Diceros bicornis minor: one gene and its partners. The protein of the gene in region 1 binds, or shares a complex with, the protein of each later gene. Links are inferred from orthologs where the notes say so. Each region holds a gene or a part of one and is shown in the gene's direction. Other genes may lie near its edges. The genes, in order: ARID1B, SMARCA2, SMARCC2 and SMARCD1.

Evidence for each region.
Region 2: ARID1B (region 1) and SMARCA2 share a complex: the UniProt entries of both Homo sapiens proteins name them as parts of the neuron-specific chromatin remodeling complex. The link is inferred for Diceros bicornis minor from reciprocal best matches to the Homo sapiens genes ARID1B and SMARCA2.
Region 3: ARID1B (region 1) and SMARCC2 share a complex: the UniProt entries of both Homo sapiens proteins name them as parts of the neuron-specific chromatin remodeling complex. The link is inferred for Diceros bicornis minor from reciprocal best matches to the Homo sapiens genes ARID1B and SMARCC2.
Region 4: ARID1B (region 1) and SMARCD1 share a complex: the UniProt entries of both Homo sapiens proteins name them as parts of the neuron-specific chromatin remodeling complex. The link is inferred for Diceros bicornis minor from reciprocal best matches to the Homo sapiens genes ARID1B and SMARCD1.

What each region holds. Positions count from the first base shown.
Region 1 is NC_080778.1:12,667,711-12,674,881, reverse strand, and holds the start of ARID1B (AT-rich interactive domain-containing protein 1B), read left to right. Parts: upstream 1-4,167; 5' UTR 4,168-4,461; coding exon 4,462-6,237; intron 6,238-7,171. UniProt on the Homo sapiens protein: Involved in transcriptional activation and repression of select genes by chromatin remodeling (alteration of DNA-nucleosome topology).
Region 2 is NC_080761.1:26,385,941-26,393,519, forward strand, and holds the start of SMARCA2 (probable global transcription activator SNF2L2), read left to right. Parts: upstream 1-4,569; 5' UTR 4,570-4,669; intron 4,670-5,231; exon of another isoform or gene 5,232-5,398; intron 5,399-6,356; exon of another isoform or gene 6,357-6,457; intron 6,458-7,579. UniProt on the Homo sapiens protein: ATPase involved in transcriptional activation and repression of select genes by chromatin remodeling (alteration of DNA-nucleosome topology).
Region 3 is NC_080756.1:12,583,330-12,590,435, forward strand, and holds the start of SMARCC2 (SWI/SNF complex subunit SMARCC2), read left to right. Parts: upstream 1-4,088; 5' UTR 4,089-4,141; coding exon 4,142-4,252; intron 4,253-6,275; coding exon 6,276-6,395; intron 6,396-7,015; coding exon 7,016-7,101; intron 7,102-7,106. UniProt on the Homo sapiens protein: Involved in transcriptional activation and repression of select genes by chromatin remodeling (alteration of DNA-nucleosome topology).
Region 4 is NC_080756.1:19,739,496-19,747,380, reverse strand, and holds the start of SMARCD1 (SWI/SNF-related matrix-associated actin-dependent regulator of chromatin subfamily D member 1), read left to right. Parts: upstream 1-4,879; 5' UTR 4,880-4,917; coding exon 4,918-5,094; intron 5,095-5,725; coding exon 5,726-5,913; intron 5,914-6,205; coding exon 6,206-6,248; intron 6,249-6,342; coding exon 6,343-6,465; intron 6,466-6,943; coding exon 6,944-7,066; intron 7,067-7,885. Other genes in the region: ASIC1 (acid-sensing ion channel 1), read left to right, coding at 72-225, 665-756, 1,440-1,519, 1,605-1,709, 1,875-1,979. UniProt on the Homo sapiens protein: Involved in transcriptional activation and repression of select genes by chromatin remodeling (alteration of DNA-nucleosome topology).

The sequences.
Region 1 (7,171 bases):
ATTTCATTGGTGTTACTATGTTTCTAGGGACTTTGGAGAGAAATTGTAGCAGCCTAATGTTCAATATGACTTAAGGTTCTGGAAGTCCAGATCCAGCAGTGGTGGGTTCCCAGTGTCACATCAGAGCCAGGCCAGACTTGAGGATTAGGGCGAGGTGCCCGGCCAATGGCAGCCAACGGGGCACAGCTGCAGGGGATGCTGTTGGGTGGGGAAGTCAGGGCTTGTTTTTTTTGTGTGTGAGGAAAGTCAGCCCTGAACTAACATCTGTTGCCAATCCTCCTTTTTTTGCTGAGGAAGATTGGCCCTGCGCTAACATGCATGCCCATCTTCCTCTGCGTTATATAGGACGCTGCCACAGCATGGCTTGATAAGCGGTGCCTATGTCCATGTCCGGGATCCGAACCTGCAAACTCAGGCCACCAAAGCGGAGCTCGAACTTAACTGCTACGCCACCTGGCCAGCCCCAGAGCTTGTTTCTTTACTGGCCAAGTCCTCCGTGACATTTCAGGGCAGCCCTGAGTGTGTTTTAGGATAATTATTTCTCTCTCCTATTGAGGACAAGACCAAGCTAATATTTATCTTTTTTATTCTCAGGGCATGTCACAAAGTAGATTCTAGATAAATCTGTTGAATGAATAAGTGTAGTTTATCCTCATCCAGGTTTATTATCCCCACTATAATACTCTTAGTAAGTATAATAGTGCTACATTGGTCAGGGTTCCCAAATATATTTAAATTATTTTTTGCCCAGATTTTTTTCAATCTTATCTAATTGTTTTGCATCCTAAGCTTACAGGCCACTGTTAATTTGCATTGTTGTTTCAAATCAAATGCTATATGCCCTATCTTGCTTTTACTCAGTTATTCACTGCTAACGTCTAAATCGGAGAAGTGAAAAGGACAATTGTTTAGTGCTTTTTAAAGTCTCTGACCAAGATCAGTAGGGAAATCCCATTAGCTCCATTCATTGCATTTCTCATAAATCTAAAAGGAAAGCAAGTGTCCAAAGCCTTATTCTTTAATAGTTCTTATTTGTAAAACCTTGACAGGGCTTTATTCTAAATTGCTTCCAAATTACGGAAAGAATACTGAGAAATATGATGGGTAGTGAATCGTGCTAGTTTCAGTTATCGAATAAATAACCAGAACAGTCAAAAGGGGGCTAATCTGAAAGCAAATAGTATGATGGGCCACGATGAGGCAAAAAGAACAGAGCTGTGGCATTCTTAAACTACCATCTGGCTCAATCCTCTTTAAGTGGGCAAGTTGAAGAGGCTTTTATTCAGCACCCTAAAACTTATTCAGAAGGAGCAGTATTTGAATATTAATTTTTCATATAGTTAAAAAAACCCACCAAAACCCTTTTGTAGCCAAAAAGGGATGTTTAACAAAATAATGGGTAATCCTCTGGCTAAACATGAGGGCGTGGGGCAACCCGTGGGTGGGAGTTGGCTGTAGCCTAGTGCAGCCACTCGGCAGCTTTTGGGCCTCCACCTGCGAGGCTGCCTTGTGGCTGGAGTAACTTACTAAAGTTGTCATTATGGTTTGAAATTTAGGCAAGAGGTGTAGAAATAAGGAATTCATTAGGAAAAATGAACATGGTGGTTTCTAGTACCTTATATTATCCAAAAAACAATAATGTAGAATTGCCATATAGGATAATCAAGGCAAGTGACACAACAGAAAGGATCATCTATAGTTCAAATTGTGCTTTTGTGAAATGTGAACCTATTTCCTCACTTTCTAAACAGACCCCTGGCCGACTGCCGTTTTGTTTATTAAGTCCTGGATTTTCAAAGCGAACTCTAAGAGGCTTTTATTTTGTTTTCCTGAGAAGGTGTGTTTGAAAAGTACAAGCTGAATAAATCAGATCCCACTACTTATCTTCAGCAAGATGCTTTAAAAAAGGTATTTGAGCATTCTCTGTGGTTTAAAAGACAAAACCCAGTCCTGCTGGCTTTGTGTTGTGCTTTTCTTACAGACTGCAGTGCCTTCTGTCTGTTTTAGGGTGTGGCACCTGCCATCCGGGAGGAGAAGCTGGCATGTGTCGCCTTTTATAGCAGATTGATTTCATTGTGCTGAGGGCCTCTACTTCATAGCCTCTTGGTTCCAATCTTCTAGTTGACTTGCAGAAGCAAATGGAATTAAAAGAGATTTCAACTTATATCCTTACTTTTTTTTTTTTAGTTTCATGATTTATCCACATGAAAAAATATTTTTAAGAAACGGGCCAGAGCTGAACTTGGTGACTCATTTTCCCTTTTAGGATTAGCTGTGAAAATAAGCCACCAAATATGGCTACACTTGTATGAATTGACTTTGATATATTTTATCAGTGAGAAAAAATATACTTTTATGATTGTATGTATATATTTAGTTTGACTATAAGTGTCTAAAAGCACAAATATGTAATTGGTTTTAGAATACATGTATATACACACATACACAAAACAGACGTATTTATATTTGCATATGAAAAACTTTAAAAATTCAACTTATGTGCTGTAATGCATATAATTAGTATGGGTTTGAATATATAAAGGGAGAAAATGTCAAAAAGGTATACTAACAAAGATGTAGTATTCTCTTGGCAAAAACTGATGAATGATTTGGCATGAATTCATCTTACAGTTCTGTTATTCTCTCTTACACATGATGCTATAACCCGTTTCTCAGTCGTTTGCATAGAATTCAATTTGTTGTTTCTACACTCTATAATGACTCCTGGGTGATTCCCCTGATTTCTCCTTCCCCCCAGTTAGTCCCCAGTTTTTCCCATCTATCCTTTTCTATTTAGTCATGTAACATACCTGCATTTGGTCAAGCAAACAAAAATAACCACTGCAGTTGAAATCAACTAAAAGAGCCTTCCTGAAAAGCTTAAGAATGAAATTATTTTAGAAAACTACATTCTACCAAAATCATACATATTATTTCAGCTACAGTGACCTCTTGAAAGCTCTGGTTTCAAAGCCTTTCTCTGGATGAAAACTGAGTCCACACTAGTACAACTGAGCCATTGCTTAGGTTAAGAAGTCCTGCTAGTAAAGATAATTCAAAATGTTCCTAGGTGATGAATCTCCAATAATAAAAACACTTAAAATATCATAATGTGATAAAACAATAGTCTTTTGAAAAGAACAAAGTATGAAACATTTCTGCTCTAGGATTAGATTTGACTGATATTATTGAGCTTATGTTTATTAAATATAGCATGTATTTGTTTTAGTTTTGTTTCACATTGCTTAGATATGAACTCACATCAAGAGGGTTAATTGTGAGCATTAACCTCTGAAATATGATGAAAGGTGTCATACGGATTTATGAAGATATGAGATAAACCTTAGCTGTCGCTATTATGGCACCAAGAGTTCAATCTCCATGTGCAAGTGCTTGGGAGCATAACACACCGCTCTGCATACTTGAGGACTTCCCTTTAGCCAGAGAACAGACATGTGCATTGTATGCTCCTTTGGGAATACTTTGAGTTTTCATTGATAAGCCTACACACACATAAAGTGCCTTTAAAAAGTTATATCAACATTATTTTTGGGGCAGGTGCAATCGTACGCATGTATTGAGTACCTGCTGTGTACAGGGCACAGCGCGCCTTGAAGGCGGCTAACCTTCCCTTAAACTCTCCCTTAATTTTGCAGTTTGAAGAAGTTGTGGGAATTACGCGGACGGCCCGCCATCAAGACAGCGAGGCTCCCATTCTGAAAAATTACATAACTCCTGGGCGAGGCAGCGATCTTCTGCCCAGATCGCCCAAATATTTTCTTTCTCCGGCGGCTCTTCGGAACCTTCGAGGCCGACCGGCAACTTTGTTCCCCAGCCCTTCTCCCTCTTTTGTCTGCTCGTCAGACTCGTTTTCCACCTCTGGATCGTGCCTTTCCGACGTGAAAACAAACACGCGAACGCCGGGTCGGCAAGGAGACGCAGGCACGAGGGGAAGGTGCAGCCTCCCGGCGCCCCACGCCGCCGCGCCCCGGGCGCCCGCCGGGCCGGCCCGAGCCCCCGACCCGGGGCCGCCGGTGCCCGCGAGCCTGCGCCGGGGCGGGCGGCGGCGGCCCGGGCCGAGTCCAGTCCGCGTTTTGCGAGTGCACCGAGTCATCAGAGAGAAGTGGATAATAGTTGCTCGGCTCGCTCGGCTCCCTCTCCTGCCTTGCTGGGCCCGGGAGGCTCCGGCGGGCGTGTATTTCCCCAGATCCGGGGCAGAGAGGAAAAAAGTTGCATTTAAACCTGAACTCAAAACTTTCACCATGAAATCCCCCCGCGGGAACGGGCCCAGACCGTAAGGCGTGACTCCCGATCCGGCTCCGGCGGGGCCTGCGGAGGGGGAGGGGGCGCGCTCGCTTCCCGTCGGGGCGCGTGGATGCGCACAGGAGGGGCCGCCGCCTAAAAAGTGGGTTTTATTGTCTCCCCCCGCCCCCCGCCCGGCCTGGCCACGCCGCGGCGATCATGGCCGCGCGGGCAGCAGCGGCGGCGGCGGCGCGGGCGCGGGCGGGCAGCGGCGATCGGCGGGCGCCCCCCGGGCCGCGGCCGGCGCCCGGGGCCCGGGACCTGGAGGCGGGGGCGCGCGGCGCGGCGGCGGCGGCGGCGGCACCGGGCCCCATGCTGGGGGGCGGCGGCGACGGCGGCGGCCTGAATAGTGTGCACCACCACCCCCTGCACCCCCGTCACGAACTGAACATGGCCCATAACGCGAGCGCGCCGGCCGCCGCCGCCAGCACCAACAGCGCCAAGAGCGGCGGCTCCGAGGCGGCTCTCAAGGAGGCTGGAAGCGCCGCCGCGCTGTCCTCCTCCTCCTCCTCCTCCGCGGCGGCGTCCTCTTCCTCCTCGGCGGGCCCGGGCTCGGCCATGGAGACGGGGCTGCTCCCCAACCACAAACTGAAAACCGTTGGCGAAGCCCCCGCCGCACAGCACCACCACCACCACCATGCCCACCACCACCACCACCATGCCCACCACCTCCACCACCACCACCACGCACTACAGCAGCAGCTAAACCAGTTCCAGCAGCAGCAGCAGCAGCAACAGCAACAGCAGCAGCAGCAGCAGCAACATCCCATTTCCAACAACAACAGCCTCGGCGGCGCGGGCGGCGGCGCGGCTCAGCCCGGTCCCGACATGGAGCAGCCGCAACATGGAGGCGCCAAGGACAGTGCCGCGGGCAGCCAGGCCGACCCCCCGGGCCAGCCTCTGCTGAGCAAGCCGGGCGACGAGGACGACGCGCCGCCCAAGATGGGGGAGCCGGCGGGCGGCCGCTACGAGCACCCGGGCCTGGGCGCCCTGGGCGCGCAGCAGCCGCCGGTCGCCGTGCCCGGGGGCGGCGGCGGCGGCGGCGGCGGCCCGGCGGCCGTCCCGGAGTTTAACAATTACTATGGCAGCGCTGCCCCTGCTAGCGGCGGCCCCGGCGGCCGCGCTGGGCCTTGCTTTGATCAACATGGCGGACAACAAAGCCCCGGGATGGGGATGATGCACTCCGCCTCAGCCGCCGCCGGGGCCCCCAACAGCATGGACCCCCTGCAGAACTCCCACGAAGGGTACCCCAACAGCCAGTACAACCATTATCCGGGCTACAGCCGGCCCAGCGCGGGCGGCGGCGGCGGCGGCGGCGGAGGAGGAGGAGGCAGCGGAGGAGGAGGAGGAGGAGGAGGAGGAGCAGCAGGAGCGGGAGCTGTGGCGGCGGCGGCCGCGGCGGCGGCAGCAGCAGCAGCGGGAGGCGGCGGCGGCGGCGGCGGCTATGGGGGCTCGTCCTCGGGGTACGGGGTGCTGAGCTCCCCCCGGCAGCAGGGCGGCGGCATGATGATGGGCCCCGGGGGCGGCGGGGCCGCGAGCCTCAGCAAGGCGGCCGCCGGCGCGGCGGCGGCAGCGGCGGCGGGGGGCTTCCAGCGCTTCGCCGGGCAGAACCAGCACCCGTCGGGGGCCACCCCGACCCTCAACCAGCTGCTCACCTCGCCCAGCCCCATGATGAGGAGCTACGGCGGCAGCTACCCCGACTACAGCAGCCCCAGCGCGCCGCCGCCGCCGCCGCCGTCGCAGCCCCAGTCCCAGGCGGCGGCGGCGGCGGCGGGGGCGGCGGCGGGCGGCCAGCAGGCGGCCGCGGGCATGGGCTTGGGCAAGGACATGGGCGCCCAGTACGCCGCTGCCAGCCCGGCCTGGGCGGCCGCGCAACAAAGGAGCCACCCGGCGATGAGCCCCGGCACCCCCGGCCCGACCATGGGCAGATCGCAGGTAACCCCCGCGCCGGCCGGGCCTGCTTCCGCCGCGGCGGCCTGGGCGCGCGCCGCGAGCCCTAGTTTCTTTCTTTCCGCGTACTTTTTCCGCGTCCTCTGCCGGGGGAGGCGGGGGCGAGGCGCCCAAAGCCATCTTAACTCGCGGCTGCCTCCCTCGGAGGCCGGGGAGCGCACGATGTCCGGGCGCGCGGCCGGGGGACCCCGGGGCCTGGGAGGGGGTCTCGCCGCGGGCCGGGCCGGGCCGGGCCGGGCGCCGGGGTTCCCGGTGGCCGAGCAGCCGCGCCTCGCCACCCCGGCCCAGGCGCGGGGCCCGCGTGCGGGAGTCGGGGACGGCGCGACGCTTTTGTAACCGAACAGGCGCTCCCGGCCAGTGCGGGCTGGACGGAGATATTGACCAGGTCTTCCCGGTTCGCGCCAACAATAAGCTGGAACTGGGAAAAGAAGGGGGAACTTTGTCCTCCCTCCGGCCCCACTGCGTTCCCTCTTAGCTTACAAGGTGGAGGCAGGCAAAATAGGTTAGCTTTGTGGCCTCCGAGGATGTTTTCCGTAGTTCTGCCCAGCCATGCCGAGACATTCGATGCGGGGCTTTGAGTTTGACGGTTCGGTAGCAAAAATGAGACCCGCATTTACGACGATGTGGAGGGAAAATATTCTAAAATATAGCTATTCGTTCCTAAGAAGAGCCAGGAAATCCATTATTTGGCCCAGGCTGCTTGAAAGGAGTCACCTTCAACAGAGAGGCTGTGTTCAAGCAACACATTCCGGTTAAATTGAACTTATTTTGATCATGGACGAGGCACACTTTTTATTCAGCAAGTGCAGGAAAATAGCAGAGCAGTGAAAATGGATCTTTTGGGATCGGATTTATTTGGATTTTCTTGAATTTGCTGTCACCCGAGTCCTACTGCGTTATTAGGAAGTGTCCTGCGCTC
Region 2 (7,579 bases), on another chromosome or scaffold:
ATGTCAATGCCATGAAAGTGAAAAAAACCAAAGGGGACACCACTATCACCCCTCTGCCTATGACACTTCTCTAAGTATTCCTTAGGTACAATACTTGACACACAACCAGTTTCCTTAGGGACCATGTAAAGGTTCTAGGGTCAATGAGTATAATAAACATTTATAAAGCTCTTTTTTGGGGGGTGGGGGGTCATTACATCATTACATTTTTTAATCATTAAAGGAAAAAGAAATAAAATTTCTAACGTTCTTGCCATATCACAATGAATTGTCTTGCCCACTCTACTTTGAAAACCCCTGCCTTAGGCAAATTACTTACTGCCTCTCATGTCTTCATCTGCGAAATGGGGATAATATCACATATCTCACAGGGTCAAATGGATTAAATGGCATATATAGAGGTCTCTGCACAAACACTGGCATCTGATTTAAAGAAGAAATAAAAGCAAGCTGCTATTATAATTACTACTACTCTATTAAACAATTGCCATGTACACACTCATGTTACTCCTAGACTAATTTAAAAATGAACCAAACAAAACCTCCCTTCCATGCTCTTTATGTGACTGCAAGAGCTGTAGCTTCACTTCACATCCTACCTCCCCCTACAAAAAAAACCCAAAACAAAGCAAAAGGGAAAACCAAAAGCATATCAGCCTTCTCAGCTTGGAAAATAACATAAAGATTCTAAATACTTAGTAATCTTGTTCATTAACATGATGGTTAATAAAAGAAGACCTGCTAAATTCTCTATTGCAGATATTTTTCATATATATCTCTCATCCTTCCATTCAACAAAGTTTTTTTTTTTTTTTTTTTAAACAACATACAACATGCCAGGCATCTGGCTAATTGCTCAGGTTTCAGAGATGAATTGAACTTGCTCTGCACCCTCCAGGCACTAGCCATCTAGTGGAGGATACCAAAGAAATAATCGCATCAAAGTGATAAGTGCTGTAACGGAGGTACACACAGGTTGCTATGGGAGCAGAGTAGGACAAGTGGCTTCCTTTGCCTGGGGAGGGTAAGGAGGGCCACTGGAAGGCTGCTGGGCCAGAGTTGAGTCTTGGAGGATGTGGATTGGGAACCCACATTTCAGTCTGCGGGAAGTATATCCAACATGGCCCCTTAGGAACCAGAAGGTGGACCAGGTTTCCAGAACTCAGGCAATTGCATGAGGTCAACAAGGCTGGCAGACATCTGAACATACACAGGCTTGGATGGCATGCTAAGAAGTCTGAAATTTATCAGATAATGGATCGGGAATAGACAAAGACTCTTAGGATAGAGAGTGATATGACCACAAACAGAATTGGGGTGGTACTTTGGAGGGATGATTGTGGAGAAACAGAATCTATTGAGACTGTGGTTTGGAAAAAAGGAGAGAGAGGAGTGTTTATTTCTGTAATAAATTTAGTTGCTAATTCTAAACTCTCCACTAAATTAAATGTCGGCTGATTCACTTTGTCAAAGTTTTGTTTCCATTACTGTAGATGAAGTACTCATTTCCTAAATAGTCTTACTTGCTCCTATTTGAAGCCAGGCAACATTTCACCCGGCATGAACAGTTTGCCTGGTGGGAGTAGAAGCTTCCTAACTTTGTGCATGGAGTTTTTCTTTATGGGGGTGTTGTAACAAGATACCAGTTTTCAAACCCAATATCTACTCTATTCAGAACATGATCCAAAGCAGACTTATATAACAAGTGAATGTGGCCATACAGACACGAAAAAGTGACTTCTATCCCTTGATGCCAAACTAGAAAGAGAAAAGCAAGTTCAGAGAATACATTATGACTCATCAAAGTCCAAAAGGAAAAGCTTCATGTGAATCTAGCATCCCGTGCAGCCTCCTGGAGTCCTTTTAGCCTCCAACCATATTTGCTTTTGTGTGATTTTCTGCAAAACAAAAGAACCCCATCATTTTCCTCCTTAACATCACTTGTTAAATTTAGCTTTATCTCAGAGATGAAGCTCATGCAATATGTTCTACAAACTTCTTTTCTTACTGAGTAAATGGTGCTGCCTTTTCATTTCTCCTGAGCATAGGCCTTATTTTATAAAACTTCTACTTGCTGAAGTGCAAGCTACAGAAAAGAGGATTCTTCAGAGGACAGACCTGAAGGAAGAAGGTAGTGCTTTCTTAGACCAATGTGAAAGGAAAAGGAGATGCAATATCTATATTTAATCTCTGTTCCTAGCAATAGATTTTATTTTTCAATTCCCAAAGTTGTGCATATAATGCATGGATACCAATCCTTCCAAGTACTGCATCAAAATTTTATATGAGCTGAAGAATATACACATGTAACAAAGGGAGTGTTTTCTTCTTTATTTTCCCTCTGACAAAATGCCAGAAAGAATAGCCAGCCTCTTCCTCCAGTGTCTTACTAAGATGATTGCTCTCTTTTTGAAATTTGGCATGGCAGATGAACGTGGAATCGTAAAGGAATAAAGGGCACTCATTCACAAGGAAATAAAGGTGAAGTCATCAATTTACGAAAATCGGCATGGGAGTTTGGCATGCCACGGAAACAAATTTGGCCTGAAAAAATTAAAACCTAATATTACCTAATGTAATAAGCATTGCCATTAGGTTAAAGCCCTTTTATAGGCAACTAGGTTATCTGGCTATATTAATAGTTGCATTTTATTAGGCAGTTAGAAGTTATATTTTTACTACATTGCTAATTTTGTTTAAAATTTCTTGCCGTATATTTCCCAGCTAATAGTTACACTGGCATATCCTCAGGCAGAAAAACAAGTTCTTACAACAGATTCTTCAGGGCATGCTATATTCTATTTCTCTGAGATGGGTTATCTTTTGTTGTTTTGAGGTTCACTTTGGAATAGAGAGAAAATTATGAAGCTAAAGTTGACAAGCAAGGAACAAGGCCTGAGAAACCTACAGGGTGGGTGACCATTGACACCCCTGGCCACCCAATGGTGCCCTTGCAGATTCTACTTCTGCCAGCAGTGGACCAGCAACGTAAACAATTCCAGCCACTTAATGACCACATGAGGGCTTTGGTGTTCCTTCCATTGCTTCTTGTCTTCAACGTATCCAGTGCATAGTTTTAAGCATCCTAGAACTGCATTTCAGACTCAACTGCTCAAATAGAGTTAATTTTGCAACAGTAAAATAGTCTTAAAGTAGGATTTTACTCTAGGGGGAAAAATCCTCAACTAAATAGTCACAGTGCACTTTGAATGACTAATTTAAACCAGTACATTACAAAATAAGGGATAAATCATACTTTTCATAACACTACCATACAGGAACAGTTTTAATTTTAAGAATCCAGCACCTACATTAATCTGAGTCTAAAATAATAGGCCCCTGATTTAAAATCTCCTAACATTCTTTCACACTTCATAAAGCTAAAAATAAAATTGTCTCAGCAAACACTGACCTATCGTCCGGCCAAAGTGCTGTATTTCACGGAAAATTGAAACAAGAGGTCTCAAAACCGCAAAACACCAGCAGTTTACCGTCGGTAGCCTTAATTGGTCTTAACTGTGGGGTGGGAGAGAAGAGACTATGGTGTGTAGAGAATAAGAGATTTATTCCCCTTCTTAAATCAAATGCAGATGCCATGCTTCCACTGCCCCCTAACCCGCCCGCCCCGCCCCCAAGGGGTTGTTTTTCCATATTTTTGTATATATTTTACGTGAAGATGACAGGTAAGGGAAGGTTCAAGGGCTGTGTCTGGTCCACAAGTAAACAGAGGGGTTAGGGCAGGCTTCTTTATTTATAAGGCGTTCAGCCTCTCAGCTGTTTTTCCCTCGTTGGCATTTGGAAGCTTGCAATCCTTTAGAAAAGAGACAGATTTGGCAGGAATGTTCTTTGTGCCGGCCTTCCTTTTTACGGGGGAGAGTGGGGGCAGATTTATAATTACTGCCTTGGGCGGGGGACGGACGGGGGAGAAAAAGTTTCAGCCGGCACGACAATGCCTGTTTTTTTTCATGGTCAACACTGTGTCACAAACAGCTTTGGTGCCACTCAGAGCCCTTCCCTTGTCCCCTCCCTTTCCCTCTGCAGGCTGGCTCTGGCAGGCGGAGGCACAGTTAAATTCCAGCACCTTCTCCACATACCCCCAAACTACTACGCGCTATTACTACGGCTGCCCTCCCTTTCGCTTTGCCTGCTCTGCTTCCCCAGACTCCCCGGAGGAGCTCGGCAGCGCCCCTGGAAGAGTACTGCCAGGAGAGGGATAACCGGCGCCCAACTCCATCAGGGCTTGGGGCTGCCTGCGTCCTGCGCAGTTTCTCTGCTCCAGGCACAAACACGGCCCGAGAGCCGGCGCCTTGCAGACACACACGGATCCACGCATACAGTAGAGCTGTCTCGAGCCACATTCTTGCACACCGCCCCCTCCTCCCCCCGAGCTCCCGGAGTCGCTGAGCGGGGCGAGTGACAGGCGCGTCCCGCCAACCCGCGCCCGGGCGGGCAGGGAGGAGCGGCGCGTGGGGCCAACTGCGGTGCGTCTTCCGGCGCCCGTGGAGGCGGCGAGGGTGGGACGCGGGGCGGAGCCCGAGTTTAGGAAGAGGAGGGGATGGCTGTCATCAATGAAGTCATATTCATAATCTAGTCCTCTCTCCCTCTGTTTCTGTACTCTGGGTGACTCAGAGAGGGAAGAGATTCAGCCAGCACACTCCTCGCGAGCAAGGTAAATATAACTTACAACTCCTTTTTCCTCTTTCCCCTCCCTCCGGTCTCCCCGCTGCCGCCGCCGCACAAACCCCTCCGGGACCGCGCCGCCTTTGCTGGGGATTATTCATTATTATCCTAATTATTATTTATTGTGCATGCACGGAGACCAAAACAAACAGGCGGGCCAACCGCCACCACAAAAAAGCCCGCCTCCTCCCCGCGGGCCTCAGGTGGAATGCTCTAACGACAGCTCCAGGGCGGCGGTGGGAGAAACGGGAAAGTTTCAACCGAACCTTGCTGTTCTAATAATAACAGTAATAATTACTACTTCAAGGAGGCGAGGGGGAAAAATCCCAACAAACCACAGCCTTGACCCTGGGTAGCCAGTCGGCGATGCGCTGCCAACTCAAGGTTGCAACACACACACCTTCGGCAAGGTTGCAATCCCCCCATCCCCTTAAAAGCCGGGGGTGGGGGACTGAGGCGGAGGGGGAAGGCAGGAGGACAGGGGAGGAGGATGGAAACGCGACAATTCATCCCAAGCAGTCCTCCCGGAAGAGTTGGAAGGGGAGCGGGAGAGGAGGGCGAGAAGCCCAGGCTGGCGGCGAGGCGCCAACGAACGCGGCTGCCACCCGCTTCCCGGGGACTTGTTTAAAGGGCTCCGGCTGCGGAGAAGCGAGCGGATCGCGGCGGGAGAAGCCTGAGCTGGCGCGCCGAGGAGGCGGCAGCCACTGCCGCGGGGCCGGTGCGTGCCGGATCGGAGGTGTCACCTCCACTTTGCGCTTTCCCTCGGGCGGGGATGGGGACGCTGACCGGTAGGGAGGCCTTTAGGCGAAGGGGCTGCAGGGGTGCTGCACCCGGGGCTCTGCGGACGTCCCTGCCCCTGGTACCTGGCGGCCGCGCGGGCTCGGATGTTGAAGTTCTGGGTGTCCGGCCCGGGCCGCACTGCTAGGAGGGAGGAAGGAGGCTACGAAGAAGGAGGTCGGGGTGCCCGCCGGGCTCAGTTACCCTGCCCTCCCCGTCCCCGGGTTTGTTTTGCTTTGCGTCTTCCCCTAGCTTGAGCCGCGGGAACCGCGGGCGTGGGTCGTCCGCGATCGTCCGGGAGCTAGGGGCTCGCTGGGGCCCGGGAGAGCCGCCGTGGCTGCGGGCCGGGGAGGCCATGATCCGGATAATCCTCTCTGCCTGACTGTCACAAACAGGACCCGCGCGCACCCGGGCAGCGGCGGTGGTGTTCGCCGGAGAAGGGAAGGGCTGCGGGGGGGTGGGGGAGAGGAGTGGGGGGTGGGTGGCGAGGGCGGGAGGCGGGGAGACCGGGTGGGAGCCTCCTCCCAACGATGACACGCACCCCTTCCTTTTCGCTCCCTGCTTTCGAGTTTGCTTTATTCCCATCCCAACCTGGTTTACCCCTTCCTCTGCTCTCTCCCTCCATTGGCCGTCTTTCCTCCTCCCGTTTGCGTTGCAAAACACGGCCATGCCATCTGCAAAGGTGTCGCGATGCACTTCCCCAAATAATCGGTCCTGCGCGCCAACCCCTAGGCGTCCTCCGGCCGCGGGGCGCACACCGATCCTGGTGCCCCGGGTGCCCCGCACCAGGCCTTGCAGCCTGGGGGCAGTTGCACCGCGCGGGGCGGGGCGCAGCAGTGCGGGCTCCAGGGGACACCCGCGCCCTGGTCCGGGCACTGGGGCCGGTTTCCGGTACACGCGGGGAAATCGCCTCCTGCCAGTGTCTGCGCGCTCGCTCCCGCCTCCGCCGCCTGGATTGCATTATTATTTTTATCCGGGTTGCCGCTTGCAGCAGATCCTGGTGAGCGCGGGGCTGGCCGGACTGGGGGGTGGGGTGGAGGGAAGTTGGACGTGGATCAGGCAGGAAAAAAAAAGTTTGGCAAGGCTGCTAAGTAGGGTGGGGGGGGTTGGGAGGGGGCGGCGGGCTCCCGCGGCTCGCGTCTACGCGCCCTCGGGGCCGGCGCGAGTGTGTCTGCGCGTGAGTGTGAGTGTGTGTTGTGCGCGCCGGGGCCAGTGCGTCGGGAGCAGCGGCGCCGGCAGCCGCTCCTGCCCGCGCCCTCCCCGGGAGCCGGGGGAGCACAAGGCGAGGTTTGGCGGCGGGGGCAGGCGGGGGTGGCGTGTGCGTGTGGCTGTGAGTGTGAGTGTGAGTGTGCGCGCGCGAGCGGCAGAGAATCAGGAAGTCACAGCAGCGAAGCGCACACAGACATGTTTGATCGCCGTGACATGACGCGCGCGAGGGAGGAAGCGGCAGCGGCGGCGGGGGCCGGGCCGCGGGCTCGGGCGCGGGCCTAGGGCTCGGGCGGGGAGACCCGCTCTGGGTCGCGGGCCGCGCCGCCACTGCAGGCTCGGCCAGCCCCGCGCCTCTTTTTGTTCGGCGTCCCCCAGGTAAGCAGCCTGCGCCGCCGCCCCCCGCTGTGTGCGGAGCTTTCCAGCTCTCCCTGCCGGCCCCCTCCGGTCTGCCGGCTCGCCTTTCCTGCAAAGTCAGGCAGGCGGGGGAAACGGGCTCCTTGTCTTCCGATCGATTGCGTGGAAAACTTTCCAGCGGGAGGCACCGTGAGAGGGAAAAAGAAGGCCTTGCTGGCTGCTGTCGCTTGTCAGTTCTTTCTCCTCCGGGTCCGGAGAGTGGAGTCGCTGCGCCTTGGGGTTGTTGCACATTCAAACTTCGGGCCTAAACGTGCCTCCAACTCTCGCAGGATTTACTCCAGCAATAAAATTAATATTCCAAGTCGTCCACTTGGTCTTGCCAGGCGTTCGGATTTTTTAAGAGAAGGAGACAGGCTTGGGAGTCGAGGGAAATGGGGGTGTTGTGCAGAATCCATTCCTTCTTTCATGTCTGCACCGGGTGTTATGTAATTTAGTAGCACATGGGTGCAAAGCCCATACTGGGCTTCTCCCTTCCTTTGTTTATATAACTTTTGGGAGA
Region 3 (7,106 bases), on another chromosome or scaffold:
GATTTAAGTGTGAAACTGGCGCACCTGGAAGGCCATTGTAACAAAAGCATGCATTAGATGATGTGATGGAGGAAGCAATGATTGATGAATGATGGGCATGGGAGGAAAAATGTCAGATAATTCTTAAGGTTGGAAACTACATGGAATTGAGAAAATAGTATTAACAGAAATGGAAAAAGTTGAGCATGTGATTCTGGGAAAGGAAGAGAAGTTTTGTTTGCATTTTAGGTGACCTTAAGTCAGCTGTGGAGACATATACATAGGCAGCTGGAGATAGAGGACCACAGTTTGGCTGAGAGGCCATGCCTGGAACAGTGGCTTAGGATTTTTGTCTTGGGAGGAGGGAGAAGAATGAAGCTTTGGTAGAATTCCACAGAAGGAGAGAGAAAACAAATGAGATGGAGAAATAGTATTCTAAGAGAAAAACAAGAGTACAGTGTCTCTACAGCCCAATAAGAAATCAATGGTTTCAAACATAGCAAAGGTTTCTACAAGAGAGATTAAGATAGTATGGAGCTGGAGGCAGAGGTAGACATTTTACTCAAAAAATAAAAGGAAGTAGAAAATAACGTGGTGATTTGGAAGTGTCAAATGCAGGTGTAATTTTGTTTGTTCTGAATTAATGAAGGATTGATCCAGTGGAGTAGGGGAATCTGAATGTGTTATGGAAGGATATTTATGGAAGGTTCTCTGGGAGGTTGAAATGAGTGGGATTGCAAGCCCAGGTGGAGAAGGTAACTTCAGGTCAGATGAACAAGGCCAAATACTGAACCAGTAAGTAAAGAATGTCAGTGGATGGAATGTAGTAAACATGTAAGAATGAGGAGAGAGAGAAGGGTGCTCATGCAACGCAAAGAACGATATAAGGATAGATAGGATTTGTTGGAATGGAAAGGGAAAGGGTGAAGGAATTGGGGAGTTGGGGTGGGCTGTAGGGATGGTAAAAATTTGAAATTATCTATTGTACATGAAGGTTCGAGGCCTTGGCCTCTCATCCCCGAAAGTTACAAGGGAAGCATTTGAGAGCGAAAGGTAGGATCTCCAGGTACCAGGCAACCTCCATCAGCTTCTTTTCCGTCCAGGTCCTCCATTTTATACACCTTGGAGCCGGCTTCCTATCACTACGTAATTGTCGGTTGCCCTCTGCTGGTCGATTTTAGTCTTGGCTCTCCAGAGAGTTAAATCTGAGAGCATGCGCAAAAAGGAGTACCGAGCCTATTAGGTTCTATTCGTTCATTCGGTACATATTTGATTACATCCATGTGTAAGGCCTAGTAGGGGAGATACGAACAAATAAAATACACAATCCTAACTCTCAAGAAGCTTAGAGTCCAGTCCGCGTGAAGATTAAAACACGTACACAGAACTACTGTAGAAAACATCCATTTATTCAGCAAAGATTCTTTTTCAATTGAGTGGCTTATATATGCCAAGAGTTTATATTCTACAGGGGAAGAAAGACTTCACATAATAAGATTAGGACGTAGGATGTGGCGGGCGACAGGTGGTTGGAGAAGACTTCCTAAGAGAACTGATATTTAAGTGGAGACTGAGTAGAAGGTGAGGATGAGAAAGATGATTTCAGGCCGAGAACGGCATGAAGACGGACAAATACTACACCGGGAACTAAAAGAATGCCAGTGGACGGGATGTAGTGAATACAGAAGAGCAGTGAGAGACAGGGACCAGGTCACGAACCACAAAACGCAGCCATGGAGGGGCTGATGGTCTCTGGCTACAGTGCGGATGCTTTCGTGCACTTTACATCTGTTGATTCATGTAGTCCTCACAACTACCCCTACTTTCCAAATGAAAGCTCCAGCAACTGGTAGGTCCAGCCTGCACTCACCCCTGAGAAAAGTGGACAGATTTGAGACATATTTAGGAGGTAGAGTAAATATAACTCGTTTTCATTTTGTTAATTTTTGCAGAGGTGTGTCAAAGGAAATGACTTGCAATGCAACCGAGTGGATGGTGGTGGTAGACGGATAGGTTCCAGCTGGAGTAATTCAGAGCCTCAAAGAGGAGGGGTCCGGGGCCAGCCTGGTGGCCCAAGCGGTTAGGTGTGCTCCACTGCGGCGCCCCGGGGTTTGCCGGCCTGGATCCCGGGCGCACACCCATGCACCGCTTGTTAAGCCATGCTGTGGTGGCATCCCATATAAAGTGGAGGAAGATGGGCATGGATGTTAGCCCAGGGCCAGTCTTCCTCAGCAAAAAAGAGGAGGATTGGCATTGGATGTTAGCTCAGGGCTGGTCCTCCTCACAGAAAAAAAAAAAAAAAAAAAGGAGGGGTCCAAGGATGTGCCAGATGGAAAGTGATCACAGTAGGGGGGTGGGGGTGATTTGGAAAGAACAGCAGGAACAATGGTGTAAAGCATAGAAAGTTCTATGAATTACCCTTGAACTCCCTGCCTTTTAGGGATCTTTCCTGGAGAAGACGCTGCCGTGCAAGAAATGAAATACAAAAAGAACATCCTACATATTCCCCACAATCAGAAACTGGGGGATAGGAAGAATGGGGTGAGGTTGGAGGATTAGAGGTTGGTGGAGAGATTTATTCCCCAGCTTGGTTAATACACAATTTAGAACAGTACCTGGCACACAATGAGTACTCAATAAAAAGTGACAGTGATCTTCCCACACTAGAGCTCCAGCTAGACCTGCAGTGTTTATGTTTCAACAGGCTACTCCCCCCAGCCCTGCAGTACCTGAGGCGCACCTCCTCAAGGAAATCCAAATGAGAGAATGCCCTGTTTCCTGGGTCTTCACTGTAATCAGACCTACAAGATGTGACTGCTGGTCATGAAATCCAGAGGTGTCCTCTTCTCCTGGAAACTCCAGTTTTGATTATTATAGCACAACAGGCAGTCACATTCCCAAATAAAACTTAACCCCTCTTCAACCAAATCCTTTCCTATTCCCTCCCAAAAGAATGAAACAACGGATGCCAAAGCTCTGCTCGCAAACCTGAAGTTACAGAATTCTGCAAGTGCCTTGTATCCTAGCAGCCAATACAGTTGTGCATAATTAAGCTTCCCGTGATCACTCCCATCCCCCCAAATCCGAGAGTGAGACCTTTCGGCTTCTATTTCCGAGACAGAAAGGGAACTGCACGAAAGACACACGCGAAGACAAGGAGTTCCCTTTACACGTCCTCAAAGGGAAAAAAAAACCGGCCGTCACGAACAGGATTCGAACCTGTGCGGGGAAACCCCATTGGATTTCGAGTCCAACGCCTTAACCACTCGGCCACCGTGACTTCCAAAACCTCCTTCAGCCGCGCGCTTACAGAGGGGTCCGCACTGCGACCGGGGGAGGACTCTGGCCCAAGTCCTGCACACACCCCATGACCTCCTCCCGCCCGCTCCTTACCTCTCCTCCACGCCACTCGGGGAAAGTCCGGTGGACGGGTGACCCAGGGAGGGAGGGTCTCCCGCCCCTCGAAGACTCAGGGTCTCAAGGAGGGCAAAGCTCTTTAGGAGGCGATGGCGAGGCCTGCAGAGGAAGCAGTCGGAGGGAAGGGGCTGGGCCTCCAGGGTGGCGCCCGGGGGACTCCTCGGGTTAAGGGCTGAGAGGGGGTGCGGGGTTAGGGGCGAGGGAGACTCGGGAAGAGTTTACACGGCGAGCTCCTGGGGATGGATGGAAGGCAGGAACTTCTTGGGGAAAGGGTCTGGGGGTCCCTGGGATTAGGGGCTCCGCGGGCTCAGGAATGTGCAAGGTGAGGACCACTCGGAGCCATGGGCTGGGGGCTCCTCAGGCGACGGGCGTCCCCCTGGGGTAGGATAGAGAGGTACCCTACTCCCCGGGCTGAGAGGCGAAAAGAGCCAAAAGGCTTCGCGTCAGGTCAAGAGCGACCTCAGAGAGTGTGCGCCCCCTCCAGGAAGCCGCCAGCTCCCCAAGGCTCCTGCCGCCGCCGCCGCCACCGGGGAGGCCGCCAGGGTCGGTCCCGCGCCCGGCGCTTCGCCGCCGCCACGCCCGGCCGGCCGGCAGGGGGCGCTGCGAGGGCCGGGGCCGGCCCAGGCAGCGGGAGGCGGCGGCCGCGGCGGCGGGAGGCGGCGGGAGGCGGGCGGAGGAGGAGGCGGAGGAGGCGGGAGCTGAGCTGAGCGGGGCGGGCGGCGGCGGCGGGCCCGAGCCCGAGAAGATGGCGGTGCGGAAGAAGGACGGCGGCCCCAACGTGAAGTACTACGAGGCCGCGGACACCGTGACCCAGTTCGACAACGTGCGGCTCTGGCTCGGCAAGAACTACAAGAAGGTACGCGGGCAGGGCCGCGCGGGCCCGGGGGCGGGACAAAGGACCGGCCCCCGCAGCCCCCGGCTCCTGCCCACCCGCGGCGGCCCGCGGCCCCTCCCCCGCGGCCTGCGGAGCGGCCCCCGCGCCCCTCCCCCGCTCCCGCCGCCGCCCGCCGGCTGGGATCGCAGCCCCCGCCCGCGCCGCTGCGCCCTCTGCCCCTCGTTTTTCTCCCCTGCCCCCGCGGGTCCCGTGCCAGCAGCCCACCCTCCCTTGAGCCATCGCCTTCCGGGCTTTTCCGGGAGAGAGGCCGCGGGTGGACGGGGTGCAGAATGGGCGTCCCCCTCCCCCTCCGAGCGTGCCCGCCGCCGTGCCCGCCGGAGCTCCCCGCGGAGCCAGGTACCAGCAGAGCTGAGGCCTCCCTGGTGCTTTGTGTATGTTCGGAGAGAGATGATGGGAGCCGGAGGGTAGACAGCCACGGAGCAGGCCCTTGGCTGCTCATCAGCCTGAAAAAGGCCCCCACGCTGGGATCACCTGTCTCTGCCTCCGGTCCCCCACGTCCATCCAAGGAGTAACAAAACCTCTTCGGGAGCCAGGCTATAGGAGTTGCTGGGCAGCGACTCCTTCTTAAACCCTTCTTCAGCTTCACAATGAAGTCACCCCACCACCTGGCCTTGCATTGCTTTGGGTTTGGGGTTCAGAGGCTAGGACACGCTGTATATCTCTAGCCCCCCACCCGATAACTGGAGATAACCAGGTAGTGAACAGAGCGTTGGAAACACCTTACCTGTCTTTTCCACCAGAGCTCTTGCTAGTGCTGTCTTTGTCTTTCCGCCTGGTTGAAAGGAACATCTACACATAAGATTTTTCTCTGGAGAGAGTCTGCCTCTCTCGCTTCTACCACCCCCCGTTAGGGGCTCTCTTTCTGGCTTCCCTTCAGCTCCCCAGTTCTTGCTACTGAGCTTTGCAGCCTGTCAGAAGTGTGATGGGTGGTTGAGGAGAACACCCCTCTGATCCTGGTTCTGAGCCTTGCCTTGTTCACGGAGGTCTCTCTGGGTGTCAGCATCCTGACAAACAGCTGCTGGGTCTGTGGCTTGTCTGTATCCCAGCGTGAGGCTCTGGTTGCCAGGCTTCTCCCTTTGACATTTTGGAAAGGAGATCAGTCTAGGGGCTTAGTCTCTGGCCCTGGGGGGATTGACAGCCTGTGACCTGGTTCAGCTTTCAAGCTCTTAGCTCTTTGTCTTGTACCTTTTCCTTCAAGGATCTGTTTCCACCTCCCGCTGAGAGGAGCACTCCTCTCTGTGATGTGATTAGGGTTGAGGAAACAGGGGTCAAAAGGCAAAGAGAAAGTTAGCCTCCTGGCTCAGTTTTAAATTGGAACAGAAGGCTAGGATGCTAGGTAGCATAATACAGAAATGTTTAAGAAGCCCAGGGTTGCTTGTCTCGGATATAGTTTCCTCCGACAGGACAGATGTTGTCTTGCTCTCTTCCCACTAGGCTGGATAGTAGCTAGTCCTTCCCATCTTTGGGGGGCGGGGGCTACAAAGAAGCTTGTGCTGGGTCCTAGCAGAAGCAGAATGCACAAGCTCACTCTCTCAGTCTGTTTGCCCTACTCGCTTCCTTGTACCTTTCTTATTAGGCTACATTATAGGGGAAATCTTGACCTTCCACAGAGTTACCCCGAGAAATACACCATTGCCTCGAAAGTGTGGCTTCCATGGCCTGAACTCCACGAACCTTCAGAATTTCATAACCCTCAGTGCTGTTGGCTAGAGATCAGGGTCATGCAACTCCAATTTCAGGAAGCAACCCTTACCCCCAGCACCCAACGCTGGCCCCCTAGGCTGGGGGCAGCAGAATTTCAACTTCCTGGTGAGGGGCATCTAGGGCCTCCCTTCTCCTATTTTCCTTTGGACACTAGACATGTGGGAGAAGACAACACTATTTTCTCTGCCCCAGATGCTTCCAGAGTTCCTGAGGAAGGAATAAGGGAGATGGTGGACAATTTATCTGGGGTCTGTGTTTCTCTCTTTCCTCTGTCTCCCAGTATATACAAGCTGAACCACCCACCAACAAGTCCTTGTCTAGCCTGGTTGTACAGTTGCTACAGTTTCAGGAGGAAGTTTTTGGCAAACATGTCAGCAATGCACCACTCACTAAACTGCCGGTGAGTACAAAAGCAAGGAGGCGAATCCTCCCAACAGGAGAGGGAGTTTTGGTTTTTTTTGGAAATTTTATGATTTTTGAGATTTGGGTCATTTCCTACCATCCCTGTATCTGGTAGGGCATTGTTGGCTTGGCTTACTCCCCAGTTTACCATTCCCATTTTCTTAGTAATACTTTGTGCAGTAATACTTTGTACAGGTTATCTCAGAGAGTCTGAGCTCCATACATGAACTCCCGTGGCATGGTTAAAAGGGGATGAGATTTGGATTTTCACGGGCCTGTGTTCAAATCCTGGCTCTGCCACTTGATGTCTCTGTGATCTTGAGCAAGCCATTTAAACCTTTTGAGTCATGGTTCCCTCATCTCTCGATGAGATTAATGTTTCTGTAATGGTTAATGAGGTAACCCAGCAGAGTACTTGGCACAAAGGTGGGGCTTTGTGAATATTGGTTTCTGTCTCTCCCCTCTTCCAGGCCACATGGTACAGTGGCCCAGGAGTTAAAGCATTCCAGCTTTGAGAGGGAGACCAGTTCAGCATGGGATTTTGTGAAAGGATTGTTAAGTAATAAGAGAATTTAGGGTGTAACTCTCACATCCTTCTTTCCTGTCTCAATTTTGTAGATCAAATGTTTCCTAGATTTCAAAGCGGGAGGCTCCCTGTGCCACATACTTGCAGCTGCCTACAAATTCAAGAGTGACCAGGGATGGTGAG
Region 4 (7,885 bases), on another chromosome or scaffold:
GATGTGTATGTTGGGAAGGTGCTGGCAGAAGGGCACCACTCAACTGGCGCCTCTCACCTGACTGGGCGCAGACTTCCTGGTGGAGAAGGACCAGGAGTACTGTGTGTGTGAAATGCCCTGCAACCTGACCCGCTATGGCAAGGAGCTGTCCATGGTCAAGATCCCCAGCAAAGCGTCAGCTAAGTACCTGGCCAAGAAGTTCAACAAGTCTGAGCAGTACATAGGGTAAGAGCAGGACACGGCCCTTGGGCTGGGACTGTGAAGGGTATGAGTGGGCTTTGATGGGGCTGCCAGAGAGGAGGAAGTTGAGATAACATGGGGAAGGCAAGCAAAGAGTCTGGGGGTGGGCGTGGAGGGAAGATCAAGTCAGAACAAGCAGAGGAAGCACCTTTTTCTCTTTCCTCCTCACTTTACCCTCTATCTTCATCCTCTTAGCCATAACTGGAATCACCTCCTCACACTTACCAGTGTGCAGAGCGTCTTTTCATATACACCACCACATGTAATCCTCACCACAACCCCAGAAGGCAGGTATCCCCATCAGCATCCCATTTGATGGAGATGGAGGCTGATATTCAGAGAGGATAAGTTGCTAAGGTCACCTAGCTAGTAAGGGACAGAGATGTGACTTGAACCTAGGTCTCTTCCTCCAACCCCTTTGCAGGGAGAACATCCTCGTGCTGGACATTTTCTTTGAAGTCCTCAACTATGAGACCATTGAGCAGAAGAAGGCCTATGAGATTGCAGGGCTCCTGGGTGAGCTGCTGATGGCACCTGTCCCCTTCCCATGCCATGGGCATGGAGTGACACCCTACCATCTGAAGTGTCCCATGAGCTCCTCCTCCCCTGCGATCCCCCGGGGCCTTTCCCCAAACTCTGTTGTCTGGGTATGTGGTGGGGGGAGGAAGATGGGCTGTCTGTTAGAGCAAAGTTGAAGAGGCCTGTGGGCGTGAACATGGGACTATTTCATATGCCCTGGAAAATCTGCCCAGAGAATAAGAGTGTTGGAGTATTTTGTAAACAATTATTTTTTTCTGAATAATACCTGTTCACTTTAGAAAAGTAGAAAAATGCAGGGCCGGTCCCATGGCTTAGCGGTCAAGTGCGCGCGCTCCGCTACTGGCCGCCCGGTTGGGATCCGGGCGCACACAGACGCACCGCTTCTCCGGCCATGCTGAGGCCACGTCCCACATACAGCAACTAGAAGGATATGCAACTATGACATACAGCTATCTACTGGGGGGGCTTTGGGGGAAAAAAAAAAGGAGGAAAAATGCAGAAAAGCATAAAGAAAATAAAAATCCCACCAGAATTGCTTTGTGCGCCTTCTATATGAAGGCTGTTGATGCTTTTGCAGGACTTGCCTGCCCCTGTCCCAGTGAGCTCTGCTGCTCCCTCGGTGTCCTGACCCCACTGACCTCCCTGTGTCCCCCATGCAGGTGACATTGGGGGCCAGATGGGACTGTTTATCGGGGCCAGCATCCTCACGGTGCTGGAGCTCTTTGACTACGCCTACGAGGTAAGCGGGGGTGGGGATGGAGGTGGGGCCACGAGAGGGGCAGGGTTCCAGTCCGCCCACCCCTCCACCCCAACCTCCCTCCCAGGTCATTAAGCACAAGCTGTGCAGACGAGGGAAGTGCCAGAAGGAGACCAAAAGGAACAGTGCAGACAAAGGCGTGGCCCTCAGCCTGGATGACGTCAAAAGACACGTGAGAGAGAGAGACAGGGGCGCCCTCCAGCCCTGCCCCTTCCCCCACCACCCTAGGACCACCCCCCCCCCGCCCCCGCCACCTTTTCTCCTTTGCCTCCCCCACTCCCCAGCGTCACCTGTGGCCCTTCGGATAACCAGTCGCTGTCTTGTGCTGTTCCCCCAGAACCCGTGTGAGAGCCTCCGGGGCCATCCTGCTGGGATGACATACGCTGCCAACATCCTACCTCACCATCCGGCCCGAGGCACTTTTGAGGACTTTACCTGCTGAGCCCTGCAGGCCACTGTACCAAAGGCCTAGATGGGGAGGGCTAGGAGAGCAAGGGGGCCCCCAGCTGGCCCCCTGCATCTGCCCTGGGGACTCACTCCCCGCTCCCGAGGCAGCCCCCAACTCCTGGGCAGTCCTTTCCTCTTGTCTGTGGTGAGGAAAGAGTCTTGACCATAGAGTCCTCTCCCTGCCTCTCTCCCATTCTTGTTATTTTTAACAAAACTAATCTAAAAAAGAAACTAAAAAGAGAGAACGGGCAAGTGACCTCAGGCTGCCCCTCTCTGCTCCATGCTGCCTCCCCTAGCTCCCAGCCTGAATTCTGTCTGTCTGGCTGTCTGTCGTCTGAGTGTCCACCTACATTCTGCTGCCACCAGTCACCAAAGCCCCCTCCCAGTGGGGGGTGGAGGGGATCCTTGGGGTCTGGAATTTGGCCCCAAACCAGAGAATGTACCTTGAAGGGGAGGGCTAGTGGGGGGGGACTTCCCCAGCCTTAAGAGACCCTCTCAGCCCACTGACCCCCCCCCCCAACCAAGTCTCCAGGCAGGAACTAAGACCCTAGTCCCCCCAACACCACCATGTGAAGTCTCTTGGGAGGTGGGGGATCCCCTGAAGAAGTGGAGATGGGGGCAAGATGTGGCCCTGGTGCTCTGGCCACATCCTGATACCTACAAGTTCATCCCCACCCCAGAGCTGCTGGAGAGAAATCCCAAGAGGCAGCCCTCCTCTATCACCCATAAAAGATCCAGCTAGTTGGCTTCCAGCTCAGGGAGAGGGGCACTGGTGCCTAACCTCACTGGTCCCTCTCCCAGGGGCCCCTGCAGAGGGCCACATCCATAAATTTTCTTATGGAACTCTCCCAAGTCCTTTTCCCCAACTTCATTTGCTTCTCTCAACAACCTCATCTGCATTTTCTATTTCTATACGATACAGACTCTATATTGCTATATCTCTGTATATACTTTCCCCTAACTCTGTCTGTCTATACCCCATCCCCTCTTGTCTCTAAGAACCATCTTTCCACCCCAAGTTCCCCTTTCTGTGTTTCTGCCCCCTCCCTGGTCTCTGAATGCCTTCACCTGTATAAAGAGTTGGACTCTCTCCCCTGGTGTCTGTACTGTGTACACACATCCCTCTGAGAAGCACAAGGAGACGACACGCGCATTGTAACCTTCGCACTGTCTCGGTGGCGACATAAAGGAAGCTGTGAATCACAAGCTCTGCCTCTTTCTGGCCTCACCGTCTTCCCCCAACCCCAGGCACCCTCTGCCCTCCCTGCAGCCTTAACATTCCCTCCCCTGCTCCACCCAGCCCAAAGTCCTTTGCCTGGCTGATGGTGGCCTCCCCAGGGAAGGAGTTGCTGCAGAGAAAGCCCTCACCCAAGGGATGGAGATCTGCTCTGTACACTAAGGCAAGGGTGTCAGAGACAGAGGAAGCTGTGGATTGGTAACTCCTGCAGCTGGAGCGGTGCAGATGACAGGCAGAAGCTGAGGTCCTTAGTCAGTGGCCTTTCCCTCCTTCTGGGTGCACAGCCCCCTTTCCTCACCTGACATCCAAGCCCACCACTTATATTTTCTGGTGAGGTACGGTTTGGTAGTGGGAGGAAAGAGACAGGCCTAGAGGGGAGCTTGAAAGCTCTGCTCTTCTGTCCTTCTCTTCCTACGTTAGTGAGAAACATAAGTGAGGTAGAGGGCTCGCCACGCCCCCTCCACCAGACACTCCTCCCAGGCCAGAACCCTCCCCCTTCCCAGAGCTTCTCTGCCCAGCTGTCTCTTGGTCTCCAACCCCAGAACAGGAACTGTAGTAGGTCACCTGTGCATTGGCCTGGTGCTGGAGAGGGAGGCTGTAGGATCTTTGGGAACTCTTAGTTTGTAGGAGTTCCTTAGAGATCAGACCTCTCCAGAAGGAAGCAGGAGCATGGCCAAGGGGTGTGCACCAGATGGGGAACAGCAGGCAGGGCTATGGGGGACGCATGCCTCTGGTCTAATAAACTGGGTTTCAACCATCTCCTCTTCAGTGTCGTTTTTCTCTTATTTGAAGAGTATTTAGGCCTTCCCACTAAGTGCTTAGAGCTGAGTTTGGCTTGGAGCCAAACAATCAGGGGAGGAGTTAAGGAGGCTTGAGCAGGGAGACCCTGGTCCTCCTGGGGTGGGACAGGCTGACCATCACACCAAGCATGGTTTGAACCACTGGGCAGGGAAAGAGAGGCATCAAAGGCAACAAAGATCCCAAAGAGAAGTCCTATCACAAAGGATTCTTTGGAGAGGGGGCAGGGTCAAAATTCAAAATAAACTTAAAATCTGGAAGCAGGTTAGGTTAAAGTTCAGGGACAAAGTTGGGTTGAAGTTCTAGGGTGAGGTAGTTATTGAGGCACTTTATCTGTGGAATGAGTCCCAAGCTATGAGCCACAAGATCTGGATTCTAGGCTTCGGCTCTACGGCTAACTTGTTAGTTGACCTTTGCCAAATCATTTACTCTGAGTTCAGCTTTCGTGTTTGTCAAATGGAATAAACAGTGCATTCTCCTCTTCAGCCCCCCGGGCTTACAAACAAAAAACAATCAAAGCGCTTTGGGAAGTTAAATGCACCGCGCCAAGATGAAGCAGTCACTCCATCACCCTCTTCCTCCGAGCTTTGGGGCTGGGGCTGTGGTCCCCTTTCCAGTCCTTGTCTTCCTCCCGTCGCCTGGGGGCGCCCCCTCACAGGGCCTCTCTATCCCGAGTTCGTCTCGATGGTTTCCCCTCCCGGACCGTGAAGGGGGGGAGGGAGTGGTCAGCACGCCTTTTCCGCTAGTCGCCCCCCTCTAGCCCACAGTCTCGCTGCCCCCAGCCTCCCGTGCCGGCAGGCCGGCCGGGCGGACAGACGGGCGCGCGGGGGGCGCGCGGGGGGCGGGGGGAGTTCCGGTTCCGGTTCTTTGTGCAGCTGCAGCCGAGGCTCCGGGGAAGATGGCGGCCCGGGCAGGTTTCCAGTCTGTGGCTCCGAGCGGCGGCGCCGGAGCCTCTGGAGGGGCCGGCTCGGCGGCTGCTCTGGGCCCAGGCGGGACTCCGGGACCTCCTGTGCGAATGGGCCCAGCGCCGGGTCAAGGGCTGTACCGTTCCCCGATGCCCGGAGCGGCCTATCCGGTGAGTGGGGCGGGAGGAGGGGCGCGCGGGCCGGGGGCGGGGCCGAGCGGGGGCCTGGGAGTGACAGGGGTGGGGGAGAAGTAGGAGGACCTCCCCTGGGAGGGATTCGGGCCCTGAGTGGGGGTAAGGGGAGACAGTGCAGAGGAAAGGAGGGGAGGCACTTAGCATCCCCACCTGCTTCTAGGGGTATTGTTTCCGTGGGGAGTCAGGGTATAGAACCCGCGGGATGAAATGGTGGGCATATGAGGGCTGGAGTGCAAAAGGGCTTGGGCAGCTCCAGTGCCCACAGGAACACGGAAGGTGTAGCTGGCAAATTGAGGTCAGCTACAGTGCTGAGTAAATGTAGGACTAGGAGAGCTGTCCAGTGTGTCACATAAAAAACTGGCTGGGGAGAATTTGAGTATAATTTGATTATCTCTTAGCTTTTGGGCTGTACTCTCCTATGGAATCACAACTGGAGCAGAGGAAGCTCCAGTTATGTTTTAAAGAGGGAGAAGGCTCCCCTCCTGTTGTGCTCCACCCCACCCCCAGCCTTGTTTCATTCAAAGAACTCAGCCATCCCCCACTTTACCTTTATTAGTGGGGTTAGTAGGGGAAGCCATGACATCTCTGGGTCCTCTCCTCTCTGTAGAGACCAGGTATGCTGCCAGGCAGCCGAATGACACCTCAGGGACCTTCCATGGGACCCCCTGGCTATGGGGGGAACCCTTCAGTCCGACCTGGCCTGGCCCAGTCAGGGATGGACCAGTCCCGCAAGAGACCTGCACCTCAGCAGATCCAGCAGGTCCAGCAGCAGGCGGTCCAAAACCGAAATCACAAGTAAGATGCCTCAGGGCAGAGGGAGGGAGAAGGGAGGAGGAGAAGGAGGAGGCCTGAGGCCTGTGAGGACACAGGTGGTGGGAGTACCTGAACCAAGAAGCAGTGGTGCTGTGTCAGCAGATGGGTGCTCATTCTTGAGAATGCCTCATGTTGGTTGGGGGCAGGGGGATGTCTTTGATTTGAGAGAAGCTTTGCAGTCTCTCTACTTTACTATAAATGGAGGTGCTGACAGCCTGTTTGCATGTTCTGGCTAGTTCCATCCCAACCTGATAACAGTATTTATTCTAAACAGTGCAAAGAAAAAGAAGATGGCTGACAAAATTCTACCTCAAAGGGTGAGTCCAGGCTTTAGGTCTTCTTGTGGGTGTGGTGGGTTTGAGAATAGAGATGGTCAGCTCTAGATCCCAATGATATCTTTCTGTTTCTAAGATACGTGAACTGGTACCAGAATCCCAAGCCTATATGGATCTCTTGGCTTTTGAAAGGAAACTGGACCAGACTATCATGAGGAAACGGCTAGATATCCAGGAGGCTTTGAAACGTCCCATCAAGGTAACTCGGGAGAGGGCTAGACAGAGAGCCAAAGGCGAGGACTCGGGAACCTTCACTAGGCTCAGGATGAGAAATCAAAGGCGCAGCACAGCTCTCCTTGGCATTTAAATTATATCTCTCCCTTCCGCCTACGAACTGAGTGTTACATTAGAAGCATGAGAACAGATAGCAAAGGGGGAGGGGCTTTTGATATCTCTTGCACCAGAAACGTACCCTCTCCGGGTTTTTGCTTTAACAGCTCTGCCGCCTTAGGAACCTGGCACCTTGCGTGAGTTTGTCCACCTGGCATCCCAGTGTATGCACTTGCACTCAGGCCAATGGCCAGTACTCCTCTTCTAGATGGACTCTCCATCCACCCACCCCAGGGACTGGGTAGACAGTACTCCTGTTAGGAGTAATTTTGGGGTTTGGGGAGACCCTTGTCTTCAACATCAAACCACTGAAGCCCCACCATCAATCCTGTTTCTGCCTTCCTCAGCAAAAACGGAAGCTGCGAATTTTCATTTCTAACACTTTCAATCCGGCTAAGTCAGATGCCGAGGATGGGGAAGGGACGGTGGCTTCCTGGGAGCTTCGGGTAGAAGGACGGCTCCTGGAAGATGTGAGTTCAAGGTCCACTGTGGTTGGCATCTAGGGTGGGAGCTGCTGGGAACAAGCAGTGTTGTCTGATTGGCAGGAAGCCTTACTGGTGCTCACAGCCCTTGTTGGGAACAGCAGGGAGAGGTCACAGTGTTCCTGTACTAAAAGACAATGGTTCTTTGTGTCTGGTTCCCACAGCTTGGCCCTCACTGTGGTATCATATCAAGAACGTTATTGTCCTGGGATTTGATTTGTTGTTTACCTTCCTCCTGATGCCGCTGGCCATTGGGATGTAGCAGTATCTGCAGATTATTCAATTAAGTTTTGTTTTTTTTTTTTTAATCAAGTGAGTTTGCACTGAGCATTTGAGGCCATGCTTTCCTCTCTGAGTCCTTGATTCCCACTGGCATCTCCATCTTCCCAACTTTCATTGGAGACATCTCACAGTTTAAGTGGGATAGATTTCTCTGACAGGCTCTTTGTTGCTTCGTGGGGAACATGAGCAGACAGGTGATAGCCCCCAAACTTCCCACCCCAGAAGCTCCTTGGGGAATCTCACCTTTCATTCCCTTACACTCTCTGGCTCTCTATTTTAGCTATTCACAGGCAAGCTAATTTGAATGCATTTTTGCAGGAGAACCAGGGCTCAGTGTCAGCCTCCTTCTTTTCTATATAGGTCCAGTCCATCTGCTGGTGGTGTCATTCCATCCAAAGAAAGCTGTTTTTGTTCTGGCTGCTTACTGCCTGTGATTCATTTCCCCTCTAGAGTCAGACTTTTCTCTGTTCAGACTCGCTTTGTTATGTGCATCGATTTGGCTTAACTTGCCTCGTTTCTCTTGGG